Linked DNA regions of Diceros bicornis minor. The protein of the gene in region 1 binds, or shares a complex with, the protein of each later gene. Links are inferred from orthologs where the notes say so. Each region holds a gene or a part of one and is shown on either strand. Other genes may lie near its edges. The genes, in order: DNAJB1 and NUDC.

Region 1 (9,027 bases):
TACAGCTTTGGGGATCCCTATCTCCAAGCAAAGGAAGCCAAGGCTGTGGTCTTCAGAAACTCACTATGTTTTTCACCAGGGCTATCTAGGCAAAACAGAAGAAAACATAAACACGTTTTATAACTGTGCTTTCAAAGGCACAGGGTTTTTTTTTGGAGGGGGAGTGAGGAAGAGTGGCCCTGAGCCAACATCCATGCCAGTCTTCCCCTGTTTTCTATGTGGGACACCACCACGGTGTGGCTTGATGTGTGGTGTGCAAGTCCAAACCTGGGATCTGAATCCATGAACCCCGGGCCGCCAAAGCGCAGTGTGCAAACTTGACCACTACGCCACCGGGCTGGCCCCGGCACAGATCTTTTCTTGTTGGTAGTTTTGGGGCTCACAGTATCTTGAGTCCCTTTGTGTCCCCACAGGCCTCAGTCCCCGCCTCATTGAGGGGGACAAGGCGGGTACTCACTCAGAGGCTGCAAGTTAAAATCCTACCAACTTGCGTTGCTTGAGGTGTCTAGTCATAGGTGCTGAGGGAGCAGGGTCAAACCCCAAAAATCTAGACACGTTTTTCTACTGTGCCAGTTCTGCCCATTTGCAGCTTCTCCAGTGTGGACTGAGTGGGTGTGTCTTTTGTATCACTGGGTTCCAACTGAGGAAGGTGTGTGGTGTCCAAATAGATGTTGGGAGAGATTCCATGCACATTCCTACAGACCTGGAACATTCTGGAATTTCCCTTTCGAGACTGCTTTTCTGAGGCCCACACTCACTCAACAGGCACCCGATCATTTTGTGAACCTACTACACTTCGTGCCAGCCAGAGCGTACAAATGATTTCCACCCATGAGGAGCTCACAGAAAGGCAGGATCTGGCCTCAAGACGAGAATTCCTCTCTGTTTTTGATGAGTATTGCAAGCGTGAGCACCCCTTGTTGGCCTCATCGGGCTTCCAGTAACCAGGCTATTGGCAAACATCAAATCCACCCTTGGAATGAAGACTGGCCACTTGATTCAAGCTGTTCATGGCACTGTACAGCTGCTCTGACGGTGCCTGTTGGGAGGGACAGCCAGATCCTGCTCCGTGTCCTCAGCATCCCCAGCAGAGCGGCTGAGTCAGAGGAGTGAGGAGCAGATAACATTTGGTGTTTGCTGAACCAACTGGAACAAGCCCCTTAAAGCCGTTTCTGAAGGGGAAATTCCAGAAAGGTCTTGCGCTGTGGCAGCGCTGAAGGATGAGTGGGGCCTCCTCAGGCCTCGGATCTGGGGGAACCAGCAGTCACTCGCACATCAAAGATCTGGTGTGTTTGCTCTCCATCCCACAAGCTCCGTTTGTATTTCCCCCATGTAAGTAAGGCAGGATCTTGGTTTTTCCCAGAACCTGGCTTGGCTTGTTTTGGGGCGTGTGATTGTGATCCAGCTGGTTCAGAGCTGCGTGAGGGAAGGTGAAGCCAAGAGCAGACAAGACTGGGCTGGTTGGCAACTTTCCGCTGTGTCAGGGGCCCCAGAGAGAAGTTTCCCAAGCCCTACCCTCTCTCGACTTTCGTTATTTTTTTTTTAATTCCATGGATGTTTGTGTTTTTATTGAGGTATAATTTATATACAGTAAAATTCACCTTTCTTTAGTGTACAGTTCTGAATGCAGTTGTGTAACCACCACCACAGTCAAGATATAGAACATTTCCATCATCCTTTTCCCAGTCCCTGGCAACCACTGATCCACTTTCTGAGTCAATACTTTTGCCTTTTCCAGAAGGTCCTATAAAATGAAAGCACACAGTAAATAGCCTTTTGCGCCTGGCTTCTCTCACTAACATAATGCATTTGAGGTCCATCTGCATTGTTTCTTGTATCAGTAGCTCATTCCTTTTTAATGGCTGAATAGTATTCCATCATATGGCTGGATCACAGTTTGTTCATCCATTCCCCCATTGAAGGTTTTCCGGGATGTTGGTAATTACAAATAAAGCCTCCGTAAACATTTGCTCTCGGGTTTTCATGCGAGCGCAGGTTTGATCTCACGTGGGTATTCCACCAGTGGTGGGATTGCTGGCTCGTCTGGCTGCGGTGCTTTCGAAGGTCTTTTTGATGAAGAGGAGTTGAAAAGAGTGCTGCATTTTTTTTTAATTAAGGTTTTATCATCTGAATCACGTCTTACACAAGCTGAGTGCTTACTGTAAGCACTCAGTGTGCTAAACACTTTACACTGCAGCATCTCACTCACTGGGTGACCTCAGGCAAGTCACGTGACCGCTCAGAGCCTCCGTTTCCCCACCTGTAAAGTGGAGGTAACAATGGGCCAACTTCATAGGATTATTGTGAGGATGAAATGAGTTAATACGCATGGAGCGCTTTGAAACGGCTGGGCAGGTAGTAGGGCCGAGTCGGTGTCAGCTCTTGTTATAATGTTCCTTTCCTGGGCCCTGTCGATTTCATATGCATAGGAAGCCTGGGAGGTAGGATTTACTCTGGTCCTCATTTTATGCAGGACACACCTGGTGCTCTGAGAGACCAGGCGAGTTGTGCAAGATCATACAGACAGGAAATAAGTCAATAGTGGGTCTGGGACTTGAGCTGAGGCCGGCTGACTCCAGACTGCCCTGCTTAGTTCCTGTGTCGGTGAGGGTGCCACCAAAGACAGAACCAGTAGGACATTTGTGTGTGTGTTAACAGATGTATTTCAAGATGCTAGGTTGCACGACTGTGGGGGCTGGCTAGGCAAGTCTGGAACCTATAGGGCAGACTGGCAGGCTGGAAACTCATGGCCAGGAGCTGAGGTTTCTTCTTCAGGAAAACCTCAGTATTTGCCTTTAAGGCCTTTCACCTGATTGGACGAGACCCACCCACATTATGGAGGGTCATCTCCCGTACTTACAGTCAACTGACTGTAGTGTTAACCACATCTACCAAATACCTTCACAGCAGCACTTAGATTAGAGTTTAATTGAACTGGGTATTACAGCCCAGCCAGGTTGATGCATAAAATAAACATCACATCTTCTCTGAGCCGAGGGCTCAAGATCTGCTGAGGTTCCTGCAGAAGCCCCTTTTCCAGTAACAACCTGAAGATCCCACGGAGCGTCCCAGTCAAGGAAGCACAGCCATCAGGAGAGGTGTTGGGTTTTGCTTTTTTTTATGGGGGGAAGAGGGGATGGTTAAACAGTTTAAAATTCTTGAACATGACCCAGGCTTATTCAGGAAAGGGAGAGTCCCCTCGGCCCTAAGGTTGCCCACAAACACAAGGACGCCCAGAGCCGAGGGAGACCTCCGAGGCCGCCACACTCATGACTCGCCGTTAAGTCTGTATAGCAACAGACCAGTGCGTGAGGGCGAGGACGCCCACCAGCTCTGCTTTCTCCCTGTGACGACTTTCCTGCTGTTTATGTACCTGTTGAGAAACCGAATTCTCTCCCCGCTGTGCAGGCCCGGGGACTCCCCGCCCAGACCCGTCCTCCCAGGTTGGCCTGTGTGTGTCCTAGTCCAGAGTCCTGGGGTTTCCCTGGGGTCAGTGAGTGGCCAGGCAGGGCGGGAATCCCCTGCTGGCCAGCAGCGAAGGCCACGGTCTTCTTTCTCGGGAGTCGCGGCCCGCACGAGGGCAGAGACCACCACAAGCTTTGGCGCTGCGGTGCTGCCCGGGGGGGGCGTGGCCCAGCGGCCCCCACTCGTGGCGGCTGGTCAGCCTGTGACAGCGCTCCCTCTGGGCCAGGCCTGCCCTGGGCACTGGAGGGACGTTGACTCAGGTCGGCCTCCCAGCCCTGCGAGCGGTTACAGCTGCTACCCTCGCCGCACAGAGGCGGGAGCTGAGGCCGGCGCGGCCCGGGGACAGCCCGAGGCGACGCGGCCAGCAAGCGCGGGAACCGGGAGGGAAGGCGCTGTGGGCTCCGGAGCCAGCGTCCCCGGCCCTGACCTCCCGCGCGGGTCTTCCGGGAGCCGCCCCCGGGCCCGGGCCCGGCCCCCGCCCCTTCCTCCGGGCCCGCTCGCCGCCCTCGGCCCTGTCCTGGGCTCTCCCGTGGCCCACAGGCGAGGCGAGAGAGGCCCCGAGGGGCGTGTGGCGCCCCACGTCCCCCAAATCATCAAGGTGGCGGGGAGAGAAGAGCGGCGAGCGCGCTAGGAACGGCCGAACCCCTGGCGCGTCCCGGGACGGGCGCCGCTGCAGGCACGGGGCGGAGCGCCGCCGGGACGCGGGCTGGGGGGAGGCGACACCCGGCGGGAACACCGAGGAACACGACAATCGCGCTTCCAGCGGCAGCCGGTCTCGAGGCGCGATAAAAGGAAGGGCGCGGGGGACGGTCGGGGAGGCAGCCGCCCTGCGGGGGCCTGCGGGGGCAGCACAGGGACAGTCCCGGCCCCGGGTGCGTTCTCCCCGCCGCCGCGAGGAGCGGGCGGGTGGGCGCGCCTGTTCCCGGAAGCGGAACCCGGGGCAGGGCGAGGTGAGGCACCCCCGCAGTCACCGGGAGGGCCGGGCGCGGCGGGCCTAAGGTCTCCCGGGGAAGGGGCGTGGCCGACCCCGCCCCGCCCCTTCCCGGAGCCGCGCGCCGTAACCCACCGACCCGGGCAGGGGGCGGGAAACGGGCGGGAAACAAGGCCGCCATTGGCTCCCCGCAAAGGGTGGGCGGGGCCTCCGCCGCCGGGTGCGCGCGCCGCGGGGAGGCGTTGCCGGCGAGGGGAGGGGCGTGGCCGCGCGCGGGCGGCCGTTGGCGGCGCGGCCCCGCCCCGGATGTCGCGCGTCGCGGCCAGGGCGGCGGCGATTGGTGGGCGCGGCGCGGGGGCGGGGCAGAAGGTTCTGGAGGGGGCTGGCGGGCTCTGGAAGCTTCCGCCGGACGCGTATATAGAGTGCGGGCCAGGCGGCGGGGGCGGCGGAGCCGGGCGGGTGGCGGCCGCGGGTCATGGGCAAGGACTACTACCAGACGCTGGGCCTGGCCCGCGGCGCGTCGGACGAGGAGATCAAGCGCGCCTACCGGCGCCAGGCGCTGCGCTACCACCCCGACAAGAACAAGGAGCCGGGCGCCGAGGAGAAGTTCAAGGAGATCGCCGAGGCCTACGACGTGCTCAGCGACCCGCGCAAGCGCGACATCTTCGACCGCCTGGGCGAGGAAGGTGCGTGCCGGGCCGCCGTTTGCCGGGCGCGGGGCGGGGGCGCGTCCCCGACCCCCGGTCCCTGCCCTCCGCCCTGCGCCGCGCGCCTCCGCCCCGGGGTGGGCGCGGGCGGGAGGAGCTTGGCCGCGCGGCTCGCCCAGAAGCTTGCAGCACGGCCGGGCCACTCTCCCCGCGCCTCCGCCCGCCCCTCGGCGGCCGGCCCGGCTCCCTGGGCGGGGGGCGTCTCCGGGAGCAGGGACGCCCGCAGGTGGTCCGCCCGTCCTGGGCGGCTCAGGCTGGCCTGCGGGCCGGCCGCGGGGACGGAGGGCCGGGGCGCCGTGCTGCGCCGCCCGGCGCGGCCCCTCCAGAGCTCCCGCCGCCTCTGCGTGCGCGGCGCGGCGGCCCGTCCGTGAGATGCCGTGTTGTCGCGGGGGCGCGCGGGCGGGCAGCGGGCGGGCCGGGAGCCCGGAGGTGGCCGTCTCGGACCTTGAGCCGGGCGGGGCGGGGCGGGCGGGCGGCGCTGCTGCAGGGCGGGCGGGGCCTTGCGGCGTCGGTCTGGTCGGCCCTCCCGAGCTGAGAGAACCCCCGCGGCTCACGAGCTCTCTCCGGGGCGCTCCGGGAGGGGGCAGCTCCGTGCCGGCCGTCTGACCGCTTCCCGTTTTGCTTTTCAGGCCTCAAGGGCGGCGGCCCCAGCGGCGGCAGCAGCGGGGGTGCTGACGGCACCTCTTTCAGCTACACGTTCCATGGAGATCCTCATGCCATGTTCGCCCAGTTCTTCGGTGGTCGGAATCCGTTTGACACCTTTTTCGGGCAGCGCAACGGGGAGGAAGGCATGGATATCGACGATCCTTTCTCCGGCTTCCCCATGGGCATGGGCGCCTTCACCAACGTGAACTTGGGCCGCTCCCGCCCTGCCCAGGAGCCCAGCCGAAAGAAGCAAGATCCCCCCGTCACCCACGACCTGAGGGTGTCACTCGAAGAGATCTATAGCGGCTGTACCAAGAAGATGAAAATCTCCCACAAGCGGCTGAACCCCGATGGAAAGAGCGTTCGCAACGAAGACAAAATCCTGACCATCGAAGTGAAGCGCGGGTGGAAGGAAGGGACCAAGATCACCTTCCCCAAGGAAGGCGACCAGACCTCCACCAACATTCCGGCCGACATCGTCTTTGTTCTAAGGGACAAGCCGCACAACGTCTTCAAGAGGGACGGCTCCGACGTCATCTACCCGGCCCGGATCAGCCTCCGGGAGGTAGGGCTCTGGGTGGCGGGTCGGTGGAGGGAGGGGCTGCCGGTGAAACCGTGCAGTATTGGGTTGCCAGGCGTTTCTGAGCACTTGGTGTGGGACAGGCTGGGGAGGCACCAGGAACGGACAGACAGGGCTCGGCTTTCTGGGGCGTCCGTGCTGGTGACCTGGGGAGATGTGGCGGCAGGGTCTTAGTTGCAGAGGCCTGGTGGCTCTTTATTTAGCTGAAGAGTTTCTCTTCCTCTTATCTTCTCACGGGGCCAGAAGTGGTGGAACGGCCCAGAAAGCCGAGAAGGCAGGAGCGTACTCCATCTAATCCTGTGCCTTTGCTTCTCGAGGCTCTGTGTGGCTGTACCGTGAACGTCCCCACTCTGGACGGCAGAACCATACCTGTCGTGTTCAAAGACGTCATCAGGCCTGGCATGCGGCGGAAAGTTCCTGGAGAAGGCCTCCCTCTCCCCAAGACACCCGAGAAGCGCGGGGATCTCGTCATTGAGTTTGAAGTGCTCTTCCCGGACAGGATCCCCCAGACGTCAAGAACCGTACTGGAGCAGGTTCTTCCGATATAGCTGACCGTGTCTCCGAGGACTGATCAGGGACCTTTCCAGAGCTGAAGGCTTTCCGGACCGTTCCACCACTTGTGGCCCCTTGAGAGGGCGGGAGGGCCCAGGGAGGGCTCCGTACTGCTGAATGTGTTTCAGAGAATATATTACAATCTTTGAAAGTCGAGCACTAGACTGAAGTGGTTTTTGCAGTGATAGGGCAGGAGGTGGTGGGCACGACAGGAAAAGGCGTTGCAGTCTGCACCCGGGTCCTGCAGCCCTCCAGGGAGGGGCCCCTGCCCTCCTCCAGGCCCTGTTGCAGGGCCAGAGCCAGACCCACGGCTGGACTCATCCCTCTGTGGGCCTTTGGCTTGCAGCTGAGGTGGTGTCGACCTGTTGTCCTCCTCAGCAGAGCTGGTACAGTCCTCAGTTTCTGCTGTGTGATGGGTTTGTGTCTGTTGTGTATTTGTCTTCCATGTCCTGCTCTTCTTCTAAAGAATCCAGTTTTCTGTTTTGTCATCTCAAATTGAGAACCTAGACTGTGTTTGCAGAACTGCCTGGCTGGCGCCCACAAGTAATACCTCTCACTCCAGCAGGACCAGGGGAGCCGGCCTGGAGCAAGCCAGTGACTGGCGCAGCCACCTCTCCGCTGAAGGTCGGGGGTGCTCTCGATCCCTGGTCCCAAGGCTGAGTGTGCGCACTCACCAGGTATTCTGCTGTGTAAGGCAATCCTTTGGCATACCTGTGGCTTACCAGAGACCCTGGTAATTTTTTTTGTAATAGACTTTGGACTCATTCAAAGGGATCTAATCCTTTTGAATTTTGCACAGCCCTAGATATAATCCTTTTTGATAAAAGGGTCTTTGCTTCTGATTACAGGAGCACTGTGGAACGCCTGTAAATATGTTTTTATAGTTCTGTGTAAAGACAGTGTGCATTCCAGAAAGACCAAGTCGTCGGCAGCTGCTGCCTGTATGGGGCCATGGTGGAGTTGAGAAGGCACCTTGGGAGTGGGGAGTCGGGACAAGTGTCTGTTCCTTGCAGGCCAGTCTGGTGCTCAGACCTTTAGATTCATTGTCAGTTGCCACTGCCAACGTGAGACCAAAGTGTGTGACTTGTCGATGTGCAGCGCCACAGCATTAAAGACTGATGCTAAACCTGGGGGAGTGGTCCTGTGACTCTGTTTGAGGGCTCTGCTGGGGGGGGGGGGCAGGGGCAGGCCTCCCTCCAAAGGCATCGTGGGGGTGGGGGGGCGGGCTGGAAGCAGCAGTCTCCCTTCCTGAGCTGTGTGTGGGGTGGAGAAGGTCGGTTGACCCTGTCTCTGGATCCAGGCCTCTGAAGAGGCCAGTGGATTCAGAGCCTGTTTTTCGTGAAGGTTGAAGCCGGAGTTTGACTCTTCCAGTCTCTCAGGGTCTGGTCTGCCCTCATAATCTGGCTCCACTGTTTCCTGCTGGAACAGGCTGGGTGTTGGGCAGGCCCTGGCCACACCCAACTGGGATTCCATCCCAGGGTCGGTTGTGCGCTGGAGAAGGCCCATTTCCTGCGCTGGATTTACTTACAGGCCACGGAACCGCTCTTACTTTGTAACTTTTTTTCAGGAACTGTTGTTATTATAAGGTAAGTAATTACACAGTTTGAAAACAATGTATTGCTATTTTGCTACAAAAAATCTTAAACTAAAAACTTGAGTAACACCATATTTAAAGTCAACCTACCACTGGCTTTCCCTTCCCACTGAAACCATTTAACCACTGAAAATAGGCTAGGGGCATCGCTGTCCAAGGGAGTTTTTTGTAGTAATGGGAGTGTTTTTTTTGAATGGAAATTTTTTCAGATTCAATAAAATTAAAAATTCAGTGGCAGGCCAGCTCTGTGGCTTAGCGGTTAAGTGCACACTCCACTACTGGCGGCCCGGGTTCAGCCTGGGCGCGCACTGATGCACCACTTTTCCGGCCATGCTGAGGCCGCGTCCCACATACAGCAACTAGAAGGATGTGCAACTATGACATATAGCTAGCTGCTGGGGCTTTGGGGAAAAAAAGAGGAAGATTGGCAATAGATGTTACCTCAGAGCCAGTCTTCCTCAGCAAAAAAAAGACGAGGATTAGCATGGATGTTAGCTCAGGGCTGATCATCTTCACACACACACAAAAAAATCAGTTGTTTGGTTATTGCGCC
Region 2 (9,220 bases), on another chromosome or scaffold:
CCACCACGCACGTAATTCTAGGTGTCTTGGGAATAATTCATATTGGGAAGTGGGATAGAGTGGGAAGAAACAGTGGTTTTTAAACAATTGTAGTTTTAAAATTTTATCTTTGCAAATTAAAAAGAAAAAATATATATGTATTTGACCCTAAGAAGACGTTGCTGGGGTCTCTCCCAGTGCCTTGGATGGGCCCGTGCAGGCCCTGGAATTCAAGCCTCATTAGCCTCACAGAAAATCTGCCTCTAATAGTGCCTTTCCTGGGTGCTAGTGAGACTCAAGTGAGGTGTTTGTGAGGACACACGTGCCTGGCACACAGCAAGTGCTCCATAAAGGAGGGAAATTGTCCCTATTATTGTTGTTGCTTTTTTACCCTCATTTCCTAGAGGATGAGGTTACAGAGGAGGAGACCCAGAGAAGGGAGGAGACCCCTCTGTGGGGGTCACGGTAAGGCTGGGCTGGAAGCTAGGTCTCCAGGTTTTAAGTCTTGCGTTTTTTGCACTGTGGGGAACTGTGTTTTCTGATTCCTGTGTATGGCCTGAAGACCAGGGTGCTAGTCCTGGAGGCCCTGGAGGGTGAGGAAAGGCCTCAGCTGGGATCTCTATAGCCCAGAGCCTGACTGGGGCCACTCACTCAGAGAAGTAGGAGGCCTCTGTGGGAGAAAATGGTCCATCAGCTGCCCTCTGCCTAGGCCCTGCCCTCAGTCTAAAGGAGGAGACATAGGTCAACCCTCAGGAGACCCCAGTCTAAAGGGGGAGACACAGCTCTGCCCTTGGGAACCCCAAATCTAATTGGGGTGACACAGGCCAGCCCCGAGGAGGCCCCATTCTGAGGAGGGAGAGACAGCCCCGTTCTCAGTAGCTCTAACAAGGGAGCCAGGACGCCACATCAGTGGTGGGCGGGAATGCTCAAATGGTACGGGGGGCTAAGGAGCTGGAATTTGGAAGACTTTCTGGAGGAAAAGTTCATGACAATGCTTTCCCATCTGTACAGCACTCTACGGTTTACCAAGTACTTTCACAACAATTATTTCAGTTAATCTTCATGCAACAATAGGATGGGGGTGTTACTGTCCAAGCAGGAACAATAATCATCAACATCCTAAGAATGATAACAAGTGACATTTATTGAGCACCTACTGTGTGTCAAGCACTGCATTATCTGTAAAATTAAAGGACACTCCATAAGATAATGTATGTGAAAATGCTCTGCAATCCTATGCCCAGGATGCACGTTTGTTTTTGTTGTGCACCGAGTCCTCAGACTAATTGAAGGGGCAGCTGGGAGATCCTGGGCTGCAGGGGGCATGGGTTAAGCATTGGAACTGGGAGTCAGAGAGCCAGCACTGGGCACCTTTTCGTTTCCTGAACATGTCATGCACCTTTGTGCCTCCCAGCTTTTGCCCATGCTGTTCCCCCACCTGGGATGCCTTTCCCTTACCCTGTCTGCTTGGTAAGCTCCTGGTCACCCTTAATGGTCTAGCTCAAACATTACTGCTCTAGTGCAGGTTTCCTGTCTTGCCCTCTCCACCTGTTCGGAAGAATAAATTGCTCCCTCCCTGAGTTCCCTGTCATCTAGTCCACACCCTTCAGAGAGCACTTAGCACGGTTGGTGTAATCAGCCACTTGCCTGCCATTAGTGGTGTTCAAATGTAGATGGGGTCAGAGGTCACTAGGGGAGACTGATTGGTCACCAAGAGGGGGACATTCATTATCTTAGTAAATTCACCAGGGTCCAAGATCAGGCCTTGGTTTCTCAGGGAAGAGTCACATCAAATAACCGTCTGGGGCTGATGTATAAAATCAGAATGCCAATTCAGGGAGACAGAACTCTAAGGTGAAGTAGGTTAGTGTGTGCACTCTGGAGACAGGCTGCATGGGTTTGAATCCTGGTCCTACCTTTTCAGCTCTGTGACCTTGGGCACAAGACTTCACTTGTCTGTCCCTGTTTTTTCATCTCTCAGATGGGGACAGTAACATAGGAGCATTGTGTTAAGTCAAGTAATGTTTGTAAAATGTTCAGTACACTACTGGGTACTTAATAAGTCAATAAATTTTACCAATATTTATTGATAAGTTATGTAATGAGATGCAATAGTATCAAGCAAAGACCATTTGTCCATTCTCCAGATATTTACTGAGGGTCTACAACATTTGAGACTCTGAGCTGAATGTTTGGATGAATCAGACAAGCTCTATCTTTGATTATGTTTATATTCCAGTGAGAGGAGATGGATGTAGAACCAAAATTTCTTAATCATATATTTCAATTGTAGTAAGTAATTACAGAGGATGAGCACAAGGCACTTTGAAAGTAAACACATGGAGATGGAGAATTGCTCTGTATATCAGGGTCAGTAAAGGCCTCACAGAGGAAGGGCATTTGGGTTGAGACCTGATGGATGAAAACAAGTTGGCTGGCAAAGGCCTAGGAACTAGGACAGCGCATTCTGGGAAGTGAAAGCCGCCAGTTGGGAGGGAGCCTGGTGAGTGAAGGCAAGTGTGGGACAAGATGAGGCTGGAGAAGTAGGCAGGGCCTTGACAGTGTTGCTCCTCAGAGGCCATGGTTGGGAGTTTGGAATTTATCCTGAATGCAATGGCAATCCGTGAAGGGCTAATTTTAAGCAAGGGAGTAACAAGATCTGGCTTATCCTTTAGAAGGATTGCTCTGGCTGCTGGGTGGAGGATGGACTACAAAGGGACAAGAACGGAGTAAGGAGACCAGCTAGGAAGCTATAGGAGTAGTTCGAGCAAGAGATGATGCTGGTTTATACTGGAGTAGTAACAGCACCTTGCTTCGCATGGCTAGGTGAGAAGTGGAGAGAATCAGGATATATTTTGGAGGGAGAGCTGACAGGACTTACTAATGGATAAGATAAGGCTAGATTTTGGCTTGTGCAAATGGGTAGATGAGTGGAGGTTTGGGCTTTGGCAATCATTGCTTGAAGGGGCCATTTAACTCTATGGAGAAGACTTCAGAAGGACTTAATGTGTGTGTGTGGGAGTATCAGTGTTGGCCATGTTAGTTTTTTTAAAATAATAATTCTTTTTTTTTTTTTAAAGATTTTATTTATTCATCTTTTCCCCCCAAAGCCCCAGTAGATAGTTGTATGTCATAGAAGGAGCAATCCTTCTAGTTGCTGTACGTGGGACTCGGCCTCGGGTTGGACGGAGAAGTGGTGCCTTGGGGCGTGCCCGGGATCCGAACCCGGGCCACCAGCATCAGAGCGCGCGCACTTAACCGCTAAGCCACAGAGCCGGCCCAATAATTCTTGAATATAATCAAATATCTAGTCAGAGTTCAAAGTGTCTCATAAAGTTACAAATTTTTTTATTGTGGTAAAATATACATAACATTAAACTTACCATGTAACCATTTTTAAGTGTATAGTTCAGTGGCATTAAATACACTCACATTGTTGTGCAGCCGTCACCACCATCCATCATCAGAACTTTTACATCTTCCCAAAGCCATGTGAATTTTGAGATGTCTGTCCAGGAGGTAGGTAGATACATGAAGCTGGAGCTCAGGAAAGGTCTGGGCCAGAGATGTCATGAGATCACCTACAGAGAAAGTGCAGAGAGAAAGGAAAAGAGCAGAGGGCAAAGGATGGAGCCCCCAACATTTGCAAGTGTGGGTAGGACAGGATGTGAGAAAGAGTGTTAGTGAGGCAGGAAGAAAACCAGGTAAGTGTGGTGACACAGAAGCTCTATTAGTTTGCTAGGGCTGCCATAACAAAATACCACAGACTGAGTGACTTCAACAGCAGAAATTTATTTTCTCACAATTCTGGAGGCTGGAAGTCCAAGATCAAGGTGTTGGCAGGTTTGCTTTCTCCTGAGGCCTCTCTCTTTGGCTTGCAGATAGCTGTCTCACACGGCTTTTCCTCTGTGTGCTCACAAGTTCCTGGTGTCTCTTCCTCTTCTTGTAAGGACACTAGTCATATTGGATTAGGACCCCGCCCTTATGAATTCATTTAACCTTAATTACCTCTTTAAATGGCCCTATCTCCCAAAACAGCTACATTGGGGGTTAGGGCTTTAATTTATGAATATGGGGGGAACACAATTCCATCCATAAGAGAAGCCTAAGGAAAAAAATTGTTTATAGAAGGAAGAAGGGGTCAACTGTGTCAAATGCAGCTGAGAAGTCCAGCGAGACAATAGTGGTCCACTGGTGTTGGCAACATGTAGGTCATTGTAACCTTGGTCAGAGTCTTTTAAGAAAAGGCTGATTAAATTGAGGAGAGATGGAAAGTGAGGAAGTGGAGAAACAAGTATAGAAATCTTTTCAAGGTTTGCTGAGAATGAGAATTGAAAATTGGGGCGGGGGCCGGCCCCGAAGCTTAGCAGTTAAGTTCACTCGCTCCACTACTGGTGGCCCGGGTTCGGATCCCAGGCATGCACCGACACACCTCTTCTCCAGCCATGGTGAGGCTGTGTCCCACATACAGCAACTACAAGGATGTGCAACTATGACATACAACTATCTACTGGGACTTTGAGGAAGAAAAAAAAAAAAGGAAATTGGGGTGGTAGGTGGAGAATGTAGAGTCACAAAATAGTAAAAAAATAAGTGAAATTAAAGCAAGTTTGTAAATTGAAGAGAATGATCCAGAAGAAAGAAATTTGTGATTCAGGAGATTAAAAAAAGGATAATTGCAAGGACAGAATGCTTGAAAAGGCAAAGATGTTGAAATTCACTGCAAGAGGGGAGGGGCTGGCTTCAGATAGCTGGGATCTGTGCCCCCCACGTTAACACGAGTGAAGGTCGAATATCCCACTCATTACATACTTTACAGGGCCCAATGCAAAATGAAAATGTGGGGGTCTCTGGTTCAAAAATTATTAAGAATTTTAAGACTGCAGCAGAAGAGTATTAAACCAAGCACCCAGCCCTTCTAACCCCAGCCCTCAGGACCACACAGTTTGTATGCCCATGAAGCCCGCCTTGGTCGAGTAGGTGATGAGGCGGTTGGTAGGCTGTCCTTTGGGCAAGTCCCTCCTCCTCTCTGGGCCTCAATTGCTTCATATAAAGGATTGGAAGAGATGACTAAGGACACTTTCAGCTTCACCCTTCTACAAGCTGGGAGGTTACTCTCAAGGAGTAGGAGCAAAGTTCATACCTTTGCAACTTCCAACCCCGCTAGCTTTGAGCCCAGAGCTTTCTGGAAGGCTCTAAAGCATCCAGTGACCATAGCAACTCACGCCAAACTCCTGGGCCCTCGGCTCCTCCCACCGCTTCACGGACGCGCTCGTTGATTGGCTCACCAAGTTGACCAATGGCCGGTGGAGCGGGCTGTTTGCCGCGCGGTCAATGGCCACGGGCCCGGAGGGAGGCGGGAAGAGAAGGCGAGAAGGCGGAGCTGGGCGGCGGGGAGCCTGCGTGTTTCCGGCTCCGCTGCGGAAGGCGCAGGATCGGAGCCGTTGGGCCCGACGCGACGCGGAGGAGCAGGGAGAGCGCGGGACGCGAGTGAAGAGCTCGGATCTGTGAGCGTGCCTGGTGGCCGGCGCGATGGGCGGAGAGCAGGAGGAGGAGCGATTCGACGGCATGTTGCTGGCCATGGCGCAGCAGCACGAGGGCGGCGTGCAGGAGGTAACGGCCCGCGCGGCGTCGGCCCGGCCTGGTCCAGCGGCGCCTGCCCACTCGGGCGGCCCGAGCCACGCTCCCTCCGCCCTAATCTGCCTTCGAGGGCTGAGTCCCACCCCTGGGCCTCACGGGCTTCTGGGATCCCGCCACATTCTCACCGCATCCCAGCTTCCGGTCTGGCCTCCGCGCTGCGCGACTTGCCCCCTTCGTATCAGTCTTGGGCCTCCGGCGCTCCTCAGTAGTAGTTCCTATCTTAGCAACTCCGGCGTCCCTGAACCCGTCCCTGGAAAACCCTCAGAGTCTTTGGATTCACACTCCTGCAACCCACCCCGTTCCCGCCCTTCCGGCTCCATTGCCCCTCTGATGGCCGCCCCGAAGAGCATCCCTTAGGACGAACCATCCCAGACGTTGAGATCTGCATCTACCACGACTTGGAGCGAACCGAAGAATGGGTGCAAAGAATGTGTGCCGTGGGGGGGGGGGGCGGGCGGGGTGATAGTAGCACATGGTCTTTTTAGGCCTTGAATGGGGCAGTAGGAGGCCTGTGTTCACAATTGGTTTCCACCACCTCCCAACTTGGGACCTTTCCACATCTCCAAGCCTCAGTTTCTTTGAGATAGAGCTACAAAGCCCTATTTCCTGAATATTTGTAGGACAGTAGTAGTAGTGTCTTGAAGTGGAGAACACTGAGGAATTCCCGGCAGTCAGGCGTGTTCATTCAAGTGTTTGTTGAGTGATTGATGTGTACCAGACACTCACTGGACTGGGTGTCTGGGGATATGTGAGGATACAGACATGAGCAGAAACCTGTCCTTGCCCTGATGGAGCTTAGAAAGAGCTTTTCAAAAGCATAATTCATGCATAGTGACCAGACACACATAGTGTATGAACGATAAGGACCAACCAGCATAGATTCTGGAGTTGGGTTTTTGGATCAGAAACAGAAGGTTACACATAGAAAAGCCTATCAAGATAAGTCTAGAAGTGTCATTCTATAAAGAAATTGAAGGAACTTGCCCAAGATCATCCAGAAGGCTCTTGATCTAGAGGGGACCAGACTCCTTAGGCCAGCGTGCTTTCCACAGTCCATTGCCCATTCTGTGTCTCGCTGGGGACAAGTTTTTATTGAGCTTTTCCTTCTCATTCACTCAGGTGCTTGTGGTGACCAAGGACTCCTAAGCCCTTTGGGGTGGGAAGAGTGTTACTAATTTGCAAGTGTGAAAGGCTCCCTCCCCCACCCCCTAAATTGTTGACACAAAACTGGATTTGAGAGTGAGTTCATTTTTGAGTGAATTGAAAAAGTGCCTAGAAGCAGGAATTGAAACCATTGAGATAAGTTCTAGCATCGGATTTAGAACCACTCACTTGGGCAAATAAAAAGGCTTATATGTGCTAGCCCTAGGTCACCACTAGATCTCGTCATTCAGCAGAAATTCTGCTGAGCATGTACTCTGAGACAGATCTGGTGCCAGGCATTGGGGATGTAGACAGAATAAGCCTACTTGTGAGGAGTTAACTCTTTGGTAGGGGGTCTCTTGCTCTGGGCCAGAGACTGTTAAGGATCTCACCTCCATTACCTCGTTTGATCCTCACAAGATCTGTAGAAGTAGGTCCTGCTGCTGTCCTGTTTTGCAGAATTAAGAAACTTCTTCAGGGTCACAGAGCTGATGTATGTCAGTCTGATATTCAAAACACATGCCCTTAACCACTTGGCTAGACTGGTACCCAGCCAGAGTTAGTTGGTCTTAATCTTTGAAGTGGCTTCGTTTGTTCCCTTCCTCCTACCTCTGTCCCACTAACTCGGCCACTGCCCCTCTGGATAGGCTGTTTACCATCTGGAGAGGAAAGGTGGGCCCTGGTGTTTCAAGCCCTGGATGCAGAGGAGTGGTCCATACCTTCAGGCTGCTTCTAGCGCCACAAGGAATATGAAACACAAACATACAAACAAGAAATGAGAAATCTGCCCTTCATGTGATCTAGATAAGGTCAGGTTAGACTTCCTGGCAGAAGTGACAAAAGTAGGGCCTGTTGAGGAGGATGTTTCCTTAGTTGGGAGGCTCAGGTGTGAAACAGTCAAGTCCTGAGTTTCCTCCTAGGGTAAGGAAGTTGGCTTCTGTGCACTTGAGGGGCTCCCGATATGGCATCTCCACAGTGTCGTTCTTTGTCTTCTTGCAGCTTGTGAACACTTTCTTCAGCTTTCTTCGGCGCAAAACAGACTTTTTCGTTGGAGGAGAAGAGGGGATAGCAGAAAAGGTGAGTGTTGGGAGCCACTGTCGCTTGGGCAGCTCTTCTTAGAAGAAAAGCTCACCTGGCCTTCCTTTGGCATAATAGTAATAATCTTCAGCAGAAGTGAAATGCTCAGGGTGAGAAGTTGGGGAGGGGAAACAAGCTGTCATTTATTGAAGCCCCTCTTCTTGCCAGGTCTTTATCTATCATGTCTCCCATGACCCTTCAGTGGTTCAAGAGGGGCAGGTGTTACTATCCCCATTTTACAAATGAGGAAATTGGCTTGGGGGTGTTTGGCACTTTGTCCAAAGTCTTGAGCTGAGTTGTGAGAGAGCCAGGGTTGGAACCAGAGTCTGTTGTAAAACTGCCTTCTGCCCCTGACACCATGCTTCTTGGTTCCTTTTCCACTGAGGAGGTTTTATCTAATTACTTAGCTGGGAGATGAGAGTAGGTAAATGTTAGAAATTGAGCTCAGAAGACAAGTATAGGAAAACTCAAAGACAACAATCCCAGTCTTCCCAGATGCTGTGACCCGAAGTTCAAGGATTTGGGAATGGTGTTTTGTGGTGCAGGTTCTGAGACCTTGAACTTCCTGCTGTGTACTGAGGTTGTAATTACATTTTTGAAGATTGGTAAATCATGAAGATGTCACCTCATTGAACTATGATTTTTATAACCTTGATATTTGTTTTCACTTAAACATAGTAATAAGGAAACGTAGTAAACATAGAGAAATAGTAACAAGGAGGAGACGTTTTGCAAACTGCTTTCTGTGGTTTTGGGATTCTAACAAGCTGGTATGCTTTGTAATGTTCCTTGATAATCTGAGGCTACTCTGTCATAGACATGTTGGCCTGGGAGTAGGAGTCTCAGGTTCTTGGTCTAACTGTATGGCCACCTTGATTTCCTACCAATTCTTTGGTCCTTTCAATCTTCACATCTGTAAAATGGAAGAAGGTGGCTCACTGACTTGTAGGACCCCTTCTGGCTCAAATATTCTTTCTCTATTAGCATTAGCACCTCCTGTTTTTCTGGGGGCCTGACTGCCTTATAATATCAGCAGTCATCATTCATTCATTTAATGAATATTTATTGAACACCTAACACTTTGCCTGTGTTAGGTACTATGCCAAACCCTTCCAGATTGCAGAGGTGAATACAGACATGTGCTTTGTTTTCATGGATCTCACAGGGTAGCCCCCCCCCCCAAAAAAAAAAAAAGATAATGAGGAACTGGTGGATGTTAGGGCAGAAGCCCTGGGAGCATAAAATGATGGGATTAACCCAGGTTGGGGGCTGAAGGAAGACTTCCTGAGGAAGGTATGAAAGATGAGTAAGGTAGCTGGAAGAAGAGAGATATGGATAGTATTAAGAAGTGTTCTCTCAGAAGTATCATGAGGATGATAGT

The links.
Region 2: the proteins of DNAJB1 (region 1) and NUDC are in contact, whole or in part, in a crystal structure (PDB 7NDX), measured with the Homo sapiens proteins. The link is inferred for Diceros bicornis minor from reciprocal best matches to the Homo sapiens genes DNAJB1 and NUDC. Residues at the interface, in NP_006136.1 of Homo sapiens: His166, Lys181, Lys182, Met183, Lys184, Ile185, Ser186, Asp201, Lys202, Ile203, Ile235, Phe237; in NP_006591.1 of Homo sapiens: Pro102, Gln103, Ile104, Lys105, Glu106, Leu107, Ala112, Leu115, Gln116, Ile119.

What each region holds. Positions count from the first base shown.
Region 1 is NC_080769.1:3,376,448-3,385,474, forward strand, and holds DNAJB1 (dnaJ homolog subfamily B member 1), read left to right. Parts: upstream 1-4,828; 5' UTR 4,829-4,871; coding exon 4,872-5,082; intron 5,083-5,732; coding exon 5,733-6,313; intron 6,314-6,645; coding exon 6,646-6,876; 3' UTR 6,877-8,010; downstream 8,011-9,027. UniProt on the Homo sapiens protein: Interacts with HSP70 and can stimulate its ATPase activity. Stimulates the association between HSC70 and HIP. Negatively regulates heat shock-induced HSF1 transcriptional activity during the attenuation and recovery phase period of the heat shock response.
Region 2 is NC_080752.1:42,672,750-42,681,969, forward strand, and holds the start of NUDC (nuclear migration protein nudC), read left to right. Parts: upstream 1-5,417; 5' UTR 5,418-5,511; coding exon 5,512-5,592; intron 5,593-7,761; coding exon 7,762-7,839; intron 7,840-9,220. UniProt on the Homo sapiens protein: Plays a role in neurogenesis and neuronal migration. Necessary for correct formation of mitotic spindles and chromosome separation during mitosis. Necessary for cytokinesis and cell proliferation.